Coturnix japonica: one gene and its partners. The protein of the gene in region 1 purifies or fractionates together with the protein of each later gene. This does not show direct contact. Links are inferred from orthologs where the notes say so. Each region holds a gene or a part of one and is shown in the gene's direction. Other genes may lie near its edges.

Region 1 (4,056 bases):
ATTTAAAATAAATTCCTACAACTTAACGGAGCGTTGCTGTCCGTGTGGTCTGTCACACAGGGCCCCATCCTAACCCTAAACCCTGCCCCATAACCAGGAGAGGGGCTCAGCCACCCCAACAGCCACGCAGAGCACTGGGGGATGGCAGGGCTGGGATGGACGCAGCAGGGCTGAGTTGAGGTTTGTATCCATAGAACACAGCATGTGAGAAATCTCTTTTTGCAGCCTGCCCCAACCAACCTCCCATCCCACACTGCTGAGTGCTGGGGCTGAGCCCACGACTCTCCCATGGGGGAAACTGAGGCAGCGAACACTGATGGGAGCAGAAAGGGTGAAACACCTTGGAACTGGATCTGCTCTGCCAGCCCAGCTGCGCTGCGGGCAGCACAGGGAAGGCTGCAAACCCTGCTGGCTGCAGCCCCATCCCCCCTGTGGCCTCACAGGCTGCAAATTGAAACCAGGTGAGCCAAGAGGCAAAAGCAGCCTGTGTTCTTGGAGGGATCCGGGGGCTGCAGTAACCCTGCAGGGCTTTGGAGAGCTCAGGAGGAGAAGCACCATATTGGCACCGCTTCCATCCTGGGCTACAACAGCCCCAGTGCTGCTGTTCGCTGGAGACTGGGGTGGGCTTCTTAGTGCTGGTTCCTGCCACGGTGCACAGCGATTCCTGGGCGCTCACGTAGGAGGGATGGCTCACAGTGTGTCCCTTTGGAGCCTGGTGGAGCACAAGCACAGAGGCAGCAGCTCACTTTGCAGGGTGCCGGCAGCCACCCACCCCCATGGCCGCCCCACACACCGGGGGACACTGCGAGCTACGAGCCCCTCGCTGACCCACTGCCGTGCCCTCTGCCCCTACGGCCCCCACACCGCGTTTGGCCGCTCACATCTGGCAGCCAGCTGAGCGCGGCCGGGGGGCCGGGATGGGGGACAGGGGGGTTCTATGCCCGCAGCCCCGGGCAGCCGCCACCGCCATCACCTGCTCCTCCGTGCCCACAGCCACCTCGAGGCGCTTCATCTCAACAGCTTTACCCACGCGTGGGTCCGCCTGAAGCGGAGCTGAGCGGCGGCCCCAACCCACCCACCCACGAGCCGCTCCCCGCCTCCCCCGCACGTCTCGGGCCCCACGCGTGGAGGCGCCGTCCGTCGGCCGCGCTCCGCCCCTCGGCTCCTCCTCCTCCTCCTCCCGCAGCTCCCGGCCGCGGGTCGGGGCGCGGTGGCGGCGCTGCGGGCGCTCCGCTCCCCTTTGTTCGCGTTGCAGCGCGGTGCAAGCGGCGGGCGCTGATGGCGGCGGGGTCGGGGGCGCCCAGCGAGGCGGAGGCGGCTCATCTGTGCCGCAGCCTGGAGGTGGGCACCGTCATGACCCTCTTCTACTCCAAAAAGTCGCAGCGGCCCGAGAGGAAAACTTTCCAGGTGAAGCTGGAAACGCGGCAGGTCACCTGGAGCCGCGGCTCCGACAAGACCGAGGGAGCCGGTGAGTGAGAACCGAGACCACCCCCCAGCTCCAAGCAGCGCCTCCCCGCCCTGGGAACGCGGCACCGGGCAGGAAAAGCAGGACGAGGTGTTCCTGCTTCCTGCGGGCTGGGGGCGGTGGGAACCTCCCCGCACCCTCCCGCCCCCACTCACCCACCCCCGGCTCGGCGGGGAGGGGAGGGAAAAAGCGAACAGGGGGTTGGGGGGGAGAAAGACAAAAGGAGCCCCGCACCCTCCGCCCCCCGACCATCCCCCGGGCAGCTCCGTGCGCATCCCGCGGCCGCACGTGACGGTGTCCGGTTTCGGTGCCCCCCCCCCCATCTTGGGGCAGCCCGAGCCCCTCCGCACCGTGTGGTTCGGTTCGGATCCGTCCCGGCTCCGTGCGGGATTCGTTGCCGAAAGGGGCTGCACGAGCGTCCTGTGTGCTGCGACCGAGCGCAACAGATGGATGGGATGGAAGGAGCGTAAACCGGGGCCGAGCGCGGCCGAGGATGGGGAACCGCCGGGTTCGGCACCGCCGGGTTCGCTGCAGCCCCCGGCAGAGTTGCAGGGCTGTAGGGTTGCAGGGCTGTAGGGTTGCAGGGCTGTAGGGTTGCAGGGCTGTAGGGTTGCAGTGGGACGCGGTTGGCGGCGGCTCTTTCCCGCACACGGTGCTTTGCGGGGGCAGAGATTTGTCAGAGCTGTGGGAGACCACAGGGAGAGGTGGGAAGGGGCGGGGGGAGGCCCAGAGCTGGGAAACTTCCCGGTGCTGCTGTCCTGCTCTGTGCTCTCAGTCCCCATCTCCAGCGCTGTGTCTCCCAATGGCCGCCCCATATAGGGATGGTGAGATACAACATCTCTCCCATCTCCCCACGGAGCTTTCAGGCTCCCTCCTCCCCACGGACAGACCCTCATGAGTCTTTGTGGGGCTGGGGCTGTGCCTTCCAAGGGATCCATCCATCCCCCAAACCTCAGCTGTGCCGTTGATGTGGTTGTGGGGTTCTGCTGCTCTGCCAACAGCCAGGAGCGGGGCAGAAAAAAGCAGAGGGTTCATCCCAGGGACAGAGATGATCAAATAAGCATAACTGTAAAGATCCATAGGTTTTGAGCTAAAGAAAAACGGGGGTTGTTGAACTCCAAGCTGAGGTTCCCTCCCATGCGGTGCACTCTACTGCTGGGACCAGCCGTTCTGTGCTCATGGCACAGCATGGATGGAGCCCTCAGTGAGCACGGTGGGACGGGCTGGGGATCTTAGTGGTCTTTTCAAACCTTAATGATCCTTCGGCCCATTTCAAAATGAGGGAGCGTCTACAAGTAACACAGAGCTCTCAGACTTGGGTCACATCCCTCTGTGGGAGAGTTTCATCTCCGTGAGTGTTCGGTGCAGCAGCAAAGCTCTGTGTGCAGGACGTCCTGCCATCAGCAGCAGTGAGGTTGGGTCGGAGGGATGTTGGGTTGGGCATCATCAGTGCTGGTGCTCAGTACACACAGAGGCTCAGGCAGGTCACTGTTAGCGTGACCCTGGTTGGGATGTCAGTGCGATACCTTGGTGCCAGGAGGAGGGGGGGCCTGGCTGGGTGACCCTTGTGTAGAGCCTTGTGTCACATAAAGAGTGACCTTGTGTGATGGGCAGCACTCACTGCCAGCGGGTCCCCTGCCCTCCCAGCAGCAGCAGCTCTGACTCAGCAGCGGCACCGCCAGCTGGGCCGGGATGAAGAACCTCCTCTGTGTGCATGGGCCCATCTCTGCTCCTCGTTGGGCTGCTCTGGGGTTGGGTCAGACTGGGGGGAGCATCTCGCTTGGAAAGCTGTGAGCTCCATCTCTGTGCCTTTCCAAACCCAACATCGTGTACAAAAAGCACAATCTGTGCACACACACACACACACACACACACACACACGGAGCCATTTCTCCATCAATATTTGTCTCTACGCCCAATGTTTTCAGCCAGCTCCCATTATCAGCGCATCACCTTCTTGCTAATAACCCCGCTGAGGGCCGGGCTGCTTCGGTGGGAAGAGCTCTGATCATTTTCTGTGCCTTTAGTTAATCACCCAAAGCTCAGCACAGCTGATCCCCGGAGCCTTTTGTCTTTTATGCACTTTTTTTTCCCCCCTACTTCCTGTGTTATGTAATTCTTTTTTAATGTAAGAAGGTCCTGCCTTCATAACTCTGCATCCTGGGGGGGTTGCGGGCCGGCTCCTAATTGATCTGTTTTCCTTGAACCGAGTCTGAAAACTCGGAGAGTTTGCTCAGAGCACGAGCTGCAAATTTGGAGCAGATGTTTGTTTTATAGGAGAGAGAGAAAGGAGGGGAGGAAGGGGGTAAACACCTCGAGAAAGCCCTGGATTCCCATCAGGACTGGGAATGTGTGTGCCCCATTAGCAGAGCAGCCCCCCCCTGCTGCTGACCTCTGCTGCCCTTTGCACTGCTGTGTGCACCACGGGGTGGTCGCTGCTATCAGTGCCAGCACAGCGCCCGCTCGGCCCCGTTATCTTATCAGGGCGCAGCGTGCGGCCACCAGCGATGGCCATCGGTGTCCTATGGCTCCAGGAGAGCAGGAGGGCGGCCTGCTGCCTATCTGGCAGATTGCAGATGGAGGCCAGGTCT
Region 2 (3,602 bases), on another chromosome or scaffold:
AGAGCAGAATTAGAGCATGAGTGAGATATCAGACTTCGCTTCCACTGTGAAGAACACCTCAGGCAGTAGGGGGTGTAGAACAGAACATCGCTTCTGTGTGCTTAGTGGGAAAAGTTTCTGGCATCATTGCATTTACTCTGACATCGCAGTCACCTGGAAAGGCAGCTGTGAAAAGCTGGAGGAGGCCTGCAGGGTGTGCTTGTGGCTTTTTGTTAAACTGTATAGTCATGTGCATAGGGTGTTAACGTGATCGATATGAGCAGACACAGCTAAAATGCTTTTTCAGCCTGCTAAGGCTTAGGAAACAGGAAAAGAAAAGCAGTTTTTCTACATCTTGTTTAATTTAGGATTCTGTGATATGCTTTTTTTCAGGAGGAAGAGCTGCGTAAAGGGGGAGACCCTAAATATGCTCATCTAAATATGGATTTGCATGTCTTCATTGAAGTCTTTGGGCCCCCTTGTGAAGCATATGCTCTGATGGCTCATGCCATGGAAGAAGTCAAGAAGTTCCTTGTCCCAGTATGTATACTGCTGCTCTTTGCTTATTTAAGGAGATAGATGTGCAGTATCAATCTCAAAGTGGAACACTACCAGGGCAGTAGCACAACAAACCTGAAATAGGTAGTTCTTTCCAGTATTAACTATGGACATGGGATGGAAAGCTTGTCCAGCTCCATATGTCAGTGTTAGCAGGTGAATAATTGTCTGTGTTTGGCACGGAAGAGATTTCCATAGGGTTGGTCAGAACAGAAGCTCTGTACACAGAAGTGTTTGCTGTGACCTGATAGTGAGGAGTATGGCTGCCCAGGAGCCTGGGAGCAATGTACCAAGTGTTGTAGGTATTTTCTGAGACACAGCTGTTAAATCAATATTTCCATAGCTTTAAGTTGGTAAGATGTGAAGGGACCTCTTCGTGCTCAGACATGTATACAACTGATGTTTCTTGTCTTTTGGGGGATTTCTTCTGTTGGTGAAGTTTCTGAGACCTTCACGTTCAACTTGATGTTAGTCTTACATTATGTAATACAACAAAGCTAGAATTGCAGAGCCTGGAGGAACCTCACATGCATTATTGAAATGGAGGTATTGCTCACCAAATTGGGAAGAAAACAAGATGGGGATGAAGCACACAGAGCTCCCAGCTTCTGGCTAGTCCAGCCTGTGATTCAGAGCTCTAGCAGGCAGAGAGCTGAGTGCACACCAGCTGAGATGGGAGAGCTCAGATGTTCTGTCTGAAACAAAAAGGGTGGGTGGAATCCAAGAGCTGTAGGTAATGGGGAAGCGTGGCAAAGCTTATGGTGGCTGGGTGGTTTCCATATGTCTGACACAGAGAGATGACTGTGTGAAGAGCCTTTGAAGGAAAGAGGTCATCTTCAAGGAGACCCTTGGATGTACAGAACTCTGCCTTGCTAAGGCAAGTGTGTAGCCTTGCTATTTAAAGAGTCTTATCTATCAGTGCCTTCAAACAATGTGTTAAACTTGTGAAAATTGTCAGAGCAGTCACTATGGAAGCCAGCAGTGCTGTGAAGACGCAGCTGGCAGGAGACTCCTTGCCTTGTGGAGTTGCTATGGCAGCATGAAGATCCCCTCTGTGTGCTCAGGGAGGGGTGGGCTGCAAGGACCTCTGATGGCTCACCAGGGACTCGGCTAATTCCTGAAGCTGGATCCCCTGGGGTGATAAAAACACACAGAGCAGAAGCTTTCTGTGTTCATGAGACTGCGAGAAGACAGCCTGCGTTTGCAAATTGCTATTTACTCTTCGTCAGGCTGCATCCTCTCCTGTTCCTTTAGCGTGTCAGGGACACTGCAGTATGCTGTTATGTTATGTGGGCTCATTGCCACCTGTCTGCCTTTAAATGGGAGTGTAGGGTGCTTGAGGGGAGATATATCTTGCCTGACTTAACCTCTGAACTCTCCAACATTTGCAAATAAATCCTGCCAGTGTCCCTGGGGTGCTGAGTATCGGGTGCCTCCAGAGCTCCCACAAGCAGGTCCTCTTCCCAGGGACCATCTGCAGCACACACACAGTACTGTGCTCTTCTCAGCTGTTTTGGAGTAAGCTGGCATTTGTGTGCTGCTGCCTGCTGAGAAGATCCCAGGGAAACCAACCAGCAGGTTTTCATTTAGGACCGTTGGGTCATGTTTATTCCAGCACGGTGGCTTATGGTACCCTGAAGCAGAGACTGTAGTTAGCTGCTCTTTGGAGCTGACTCTCTCCCCTCTTTAGGATATGATGGATGATATCTGTCAGGAGCAATTCTTGGAGCTCTCCTACCTGAACGGTGTACCAGAGCCAACTCGTGGCCGAGGAGGCCCTGTGCGGGGAAGGGGAGCAGCTCCACCACCACCTCCACCTGTTCCAAGGTACCTTTCCCAAAAGCATGGACCTGGAAATGCTGCATCTTGCTCAGAGTGGTGCTGCGAGATCAGGTTAAGCTGCTTATTCTTGTACATCAGCTGTTGACTTTGACCTTGGCTTTTGGCCAATGCTTTCTAGCCTTGTTTTGCAGGCTTGCTCTAGCAAGCTGCCATCAAATATTCTGCATGTTTGGAGTTACAGTAGTTATGATCTAGCTCAGTGGATGTCTTCCTTATTACTTTTGCTGTCTGAAATCATCAGCATCGTAAAGTAACCATTAAAAGAGGAAAGAATAGCTAGAAGATTGTTTTTTAAAGAGAAAGTCGGCCTTAGAATGCCGTGCAGATGGTTTGTGTTTGTGTTTGCTTCTGCAGCCTCCAGCAGAATACATATTTTCAGTTTAAACTGACCTTCCTGTGAAAGTCACAGGGTGGTGTTGTTCTGTCACTGCTGTCGAGGCGCTGAGATGAATTGGTGGTAACACTCCGTTGCTGTAGTCACTTCACTACGTATTTCACAGGGGTGGCCTGTACTTCTGTCTGACCGTCCATCCCAGAAGTGTCCCTGCTCCCCTCAGCGCTGGTTGTACAGTGCTGGAGGGGTGGCAGTCGTTGCTGGTCAGTGACAGAGGGCAGCTGGAAAGGAGCTCTGAGAAACCCCTCAGCCAATGCTCTGTGTTGGGTTTATTCCTGCACAGCGTGTAATGCACTGGTGTTCCCATCCCAGAAGAGTGTTTTTTGTTGTTTTTTTTTAATTGATGCAATACAGTATTAACAATTCATTCTTGACAAGTAATCCATAGCTTAACGAATGGTAACCAGATTTATTTATCAAGCACTTGTGTTCTAGGGTTGCTGTAAGCAGCTGTACAGCAATAGCAGCTCACAGTTGTTCTCCTCTCCTTCCAGGGGGCGTGGTGTCGGTCCTCCCCCTCCGCCGCCTCCTCCCCGGGGGGCCATGGTGCGAGGAGCCCCGGTGCGTGGTGCCATTGCCCGGGGAGCAGCTGTAGCCCGTGGGGTGCCTCCCCCCCCAGCAGTCCGGGGTGCTCCTGCACCCAGAGCACGTGCAGCCGGCATCCAGCGGATACCACTTCCTCCTCCTCCCGCGCCAGAAACCTACGAGGAATACGTAAGGATCCTGTCTACCCTTGGGTGTTATTCCACATGGCTGGTCTTGTGTTTAGTTATTGAACCTTCTGGACCTAAAGGCCACAACCAAGAGTACTGCACTGAAGCAGGGAGCA
Region 3 (4,199 bases), on another chromosome or scaffold:
AAAGAAGCAGCGTGTCAGGGGCAGGGGTGAAACAACTCGGCCAGTCTCACAAGAAATTACCTTTCTGTGGAACCCTTGCCACACTTAGAACTGCTCTACCCAGATTAAATCTATTGGAGGAGTGCTGCAGGAAATTCAGAGCACAGATGCCCTGGTCTCCATGCTTATATGCGCATGCTGTTGCCCCTTTAAGTCAGTTAAAAAAGCGTGTTTCGTCGAAGCAATCATAAATATTTACACTGCAGCTCTATGTTTAGGAATATCATTTTAACAACAAGACTGTGCTGAAATCCTTTTATTTAAAAACCCGTAGGAGAAAGCAAACAGCATTAAACAGAAGCCCACGGAGCCAGTGGGCTGCAAGACAACGTGGAATTACATATCCGATTGAAATATGGCAACGTGGAAACCAAGCCCGTAAGAGATGGCTGTTGAGACTGTAATTTCTTTACCAGCACAGCAGGGCATGAACGCGCTGCCATTCTGTGAGCCCAGGGACGCAGACAGCGTCTGCTCTGACACCGGGCACGAGCCCAGCAGAGTCCCACGGGTACTCGCAGCGCTGCAGGACCTGGAATGGGATCCTGCCTTCAGAAGGCAAGATAGGAAGGTTCGTTTCGGCAGATAAAAGGAGGTTTGTCTGCAGGGCGGTGGAAGCGCGAGTAGGAGTTTGTTTTAGTGGCCTGGGGAGAAATTCACTTAATTCTTTTGGTAACACAAGGCTTTGAAAACCTGAATGTTTAGATGCCTCCTGAGAACTTTGGAGAGGCGTGCAAGTGTCAACGTGCTGCTATTTGTCAGCTCTTTTATTATGGGGGGGGAGGGAAAAAAAGAAGAAGAAGAAAAAAAGAAGATAATGAGAGAAGTATCAGCACGGTAACGGAGTAACCGGCAATGGAGTACGGGCGGCAGTGCGGTCACACAGCGGCTGCAGGCGATGCGCTGTTCTCCTCCCGCAGCACACGGCGGTGCAGCTATAACGGGGACACACAAAGCACGGGCTCAGCACGCCCCGATCGCGCCGTCCCTTCCCGCCGTGCCCCCGCGCCACCTGCCGCCTCTCCTGGCTTTTACTCCCCATACTTTCTTCTATTTTCCCTCCCAAAGGCAGCTCAGCCTCAGGGCGCACCATGGCCGCCCCTTGGCCGCACACCATGGCGGCTCGGGCCGCTCCTACCCCGCACTTTCCTCCCCCACGCGGTGCGGCCGCTCCCCCTCCTGCCCCGCCCAGCTCCACGCACGCGCTCATAGGGACGAGGCTGGGGAGCGGCGCACATGCGCGGCCCGTCCCACCGCCTCCGTCCTTCCCCCCTCCCGGCTGGCGGGCGCACGGGGGCGGGCACAGCGCGGGGCGGCCGAGCCGCTCCCCTGGCGGCCGGCGGGGCCGAGGCAGCCGCGCCGGGGCCCTGCGGAGCCGCCGTGAGCGCGCAGCCCCCGCCCAGCCGGGTATTGTTCGCGGCCCGTCTCCGCCGGGACAGTTTTGCCCTCGTCCCGGCTCCGCTCCCCGCCGGGGCGGGGTGGGCCGGGGCCCCTTTGTCGCCACCTCCCCGGCGTGCGGCGGCGGCGGCGGCTGCGGGCGGGAGGGCGAGCGGCGGACGGGAGGGGGGGCGAGGCTCAACATGATGGCGGCCGAGGCCGGAGCTGAGGACGGCGGTTCGGTTACCTCGGCCGGGACGGCGGCCGCCGCCGAGCCGGGGCACTGCCGAGGCAAAGCACCGGGGCCGCAGGGCCCCTTCGCGCCCGGCTCCAGCTCCGGCTCCGGCGGGGACAGCCCGGGCGCCGGCCCGGCTCTGTGCTCGGCGCTCGGGCTGCTGGCGCTCGGCTCCACGGGAGCCCCGCCACCGCCCAGCGAGCCGGGCTCCGCCGCCTTCCCCCCGCTGCCGCCGCCGCCGCCGCCCCTACCCCCGGCCGGAGGGCTGGCGGCCGTGGACGAGGGCGACTCGCTGGACGGGCCGGAGTACGAGGAGGAGGAGGTGGCCATCCCGCTGAACGCGCCCCCCACCAACCAGTAAGTACCGCGGCCCCCCACCCCCCTCGGTTCCGCTCCCGGAGCGCAGGAAGAGCGCGGCTCCGCGCAGCGCCGCGTGTCCGTGCGGCGGGGGGAGGCCCGGGCGGCTCCCGGACAGACTGGGACTGCGGCGCTAACTTTGTAACAGGCGGAGACCTCCCCGCTGTACAAAGCGCTGCTCTCCTCGTGTCATCCCTTTGCATTCCGTTGTTTATACCTTAAAAAAAAGCAACAAGAACAGCACAAAGAACACCCCAGCCTTTTTGTTATTTCATACAGGAATATCACGAAGGTTGCACGCACGTGTTTGCCTTCGTGGAGTAGGGAGGGTGAGGTTTGCTCACTCTGGAACGCGGGTTGGAAATGAGTAGAATTCTTCTTCTACTTTAAAATAGTGGGCGGGCTGTGCTTACAGAATAGCGCCTGACTTTGCTGCTCAGCCAGTTTAAAGCGAGGCTGATGTTGGTTTGTCTGTATGGAGGCAGGAGGCAGAGGTGAAAATCCTGCAAACCTCCTGTTGGATTTCATTCTGTTATCTCTGTTTTAAGGTGAATGGATGTCCTGTGGTGCTGGTAACAGAATTTCGCACTCTGAGCAGAGCAGTTCTCAATTTATATTGTGTGAAAAATGTAGGATCAGATAATGCTGTGTGTAGTTTGTGTAATTAATGAGCACTCCATGCACAACCTTTGGGCTGAAGCATAGGAAGTCTGCAGGTTTGTGTGTAGCACCTCAAGCCCCGTTTCAGTACAGAAAACAGTTCTCTGGGAGGGTGCCTGGCTATTTAAAAAATGGAGTTGCTTCAGAAGCTCTATTGGTTGCACCAAGTAGTGTCTAGAAATGTGTTGTTCCTGAAGTTTCCTGAGGATAGTAGATAATGTAAGGTTTCAAGGTACTGAAACAGTTGGGCTAGATGTTCATAGCGGGCTTTTCCAACCTTAAGGAGTCTGATTGTGTGAAACCATGAGGGTTGGTAGATAGTTTCAAGGCGTGGATCAGAAGGACGACCTGAAAGCCCATCTGAGTTTGGGTTCTTTGTTACATTCTTTCCCAGTACCACTCTTAAGAGACTTCTGCACCATTCGTGTATTTCCATGATTTCAGGAATCATTAAAGTCATCAGGAGGACATAAAAATGTACCGATATGAATCCCTTTTAAATTCATGTCTCTCGCTTTGACAGTCTTCCCTGTAATCTCCTGATTTCTTGACTTTCTGTAGAAGTTTGCTAACTTAAGGCAGTGTTTGAACAGTGTTTGACTGGCGTCACTAATGAGCTGGAAATATGATCAGGCAGTTCTGACAAAGGATCAGGAGGGAAATAGAGGCACACGAATGTGAAATTACTTCTTCAGGGTTGTCAAATCACTGGAGCACACAATTCTGTACTTCTGGTTTTCTCTCTGAAAATAGATCAGACTGCTTTTTCCATTAGATCCAGTTATGTTAGTCAGAGAGAGAGAGTCCTTTTTGGAAGTATCTTTAGGAAATGGGGTGACAGATTGTAAATGACCACCTGTTCGGTCCTAAATATGCAATATGGACATATGCTAATAGGAGTGGGATTTGCTGTCAGAGCATTGTCCTGTGACTGAAGTGCTGGAGTGATGTCTGTCTTTAAGTGCTTTGACAAGTGTGTGCTGAGGGGAAGGCTGTGCAGGCCCTAATTTGCTCTGGTTAACAGTACCTTATTCAGACAAAAGGGAGACAGGAGTCTTTGCAGAACCAGGGCATAACTGTGAGCTGAGCTTTCTTCATAAAAGAGAATCCTTCACAACAAATCAAGTATTGTGGAAAATGTACACGTACCTCCCTACTCTGTGTTCTTAACAGCTTTTCCTTTGCCACATAACCCTCGGAGTGTGACTTTTCAATAAAAAATTGATTGAATAGAACCGTGTTTCTCTCTCATTCAGCTCCTTTATGGTGTCAGTTTTCATCGTTCTTATTTAAGTCATTCAGATTGGCCATATGCTGATAGTAAATCGCATCCTCTCAGTCCTGCTGTTTTATTTTGGAAGGGCCCTTTCTTTGTAGATGTACCATCTGCTTCTATGGAATTAAACTCCTGATTTATTATCAAAACAAAGATCAATATTATCTATAATCTTATACAGGGAAAGGTTTGCTATAATTCTTTAGGAATAATGATTGAATTTATAGTTAAGATTAAATTTGTCCAGTTGGATAT

What was found.
Region 2: the proteins of PLCG1 (region 1) and KHDRBS1 purify together in Homo sapiens (affinity purification with western blotting; 7 studies listed by BioGRID and IntAct, with this or other methods). This does not show direct contact. The link is inferred for Coturnix japonica from reciprocal best matches to the Homo sapiens genes PLCG1 and KHDRBS1.
Region 3: the proteins of PLCG1 (region 1) and RASA1 purify together in Homo sapiens (affinity purification with western blotting; 3 studies listed by BioGRID and IntAct, with this or other methods). This does not show direct contact. The link is inferred for Coturnix japonica from reciprocal best matches to the Homo sapiens genes PLCG1 and RASA1.

Annotation. Positions count from the first base shown.
Region 1 is NC_029535.1:4,195,334-4,199,389, forward strand, and holds the start of PLCG1 (1-phosphatidylinositol 4,5-bisphosphate phosphodiesterase gamma-1), read left to right. Parts: upstream 1-1,186; 5' UTR 1,187-1,278; coding exon 1,279-1,468; intron 1,469-4,056. UniProt on the Homo sapiens protein: Mediates the production of the second messenger molecules diacylglycerol (DAG) and inositol 1,4,5-trisphosphate (IP3). Plays an important role in the regulation of intracellular signaling cascades.
Region 2 is NC_029538.1:4,473,862-4,477,463, forward strand, and holds part of KHDRBS1 (KH domain-containing, RNA-binding, signal transduction-associated protein 1), read left to right. Parts: intron 1-372; coding exon 373-519; intron 520-2,227; coding exon 2,228-2,364; coding exon of another isoform or gene 2,365-2,430; intron 2,431-3,267; coding exon 3,268-3,487; intron 3,488-3,602. UniProt on the Homo sapiens protein: Recruited and tyrosine phosphorylated by several receptor systems, for example the T-cell, leptin and insulin receptors. Once phosphorylated, functions as an adapter protein in signal transduction cascades by binding to SH2 and SH3 domain-containing proteins.
Region 3 is NC_029547.1:54,365,711-54,369,909, reverse strand, and holds the start of RASA1 (ras GTPase-activating protein 1), read left to right. Parts: upstream 1-1,380; 5' UTR 1,381-1,619; coding exon 1,620-2,008; intron 2,009-4,199. UniProt on the Homo sapiens protein: Inhibitory regulator of the Ras-cyclic AMP pathway. Stimulates the GTPase of normal but not oncogenic Ras p21; this stimulation may be further increased in the presence of NCK1.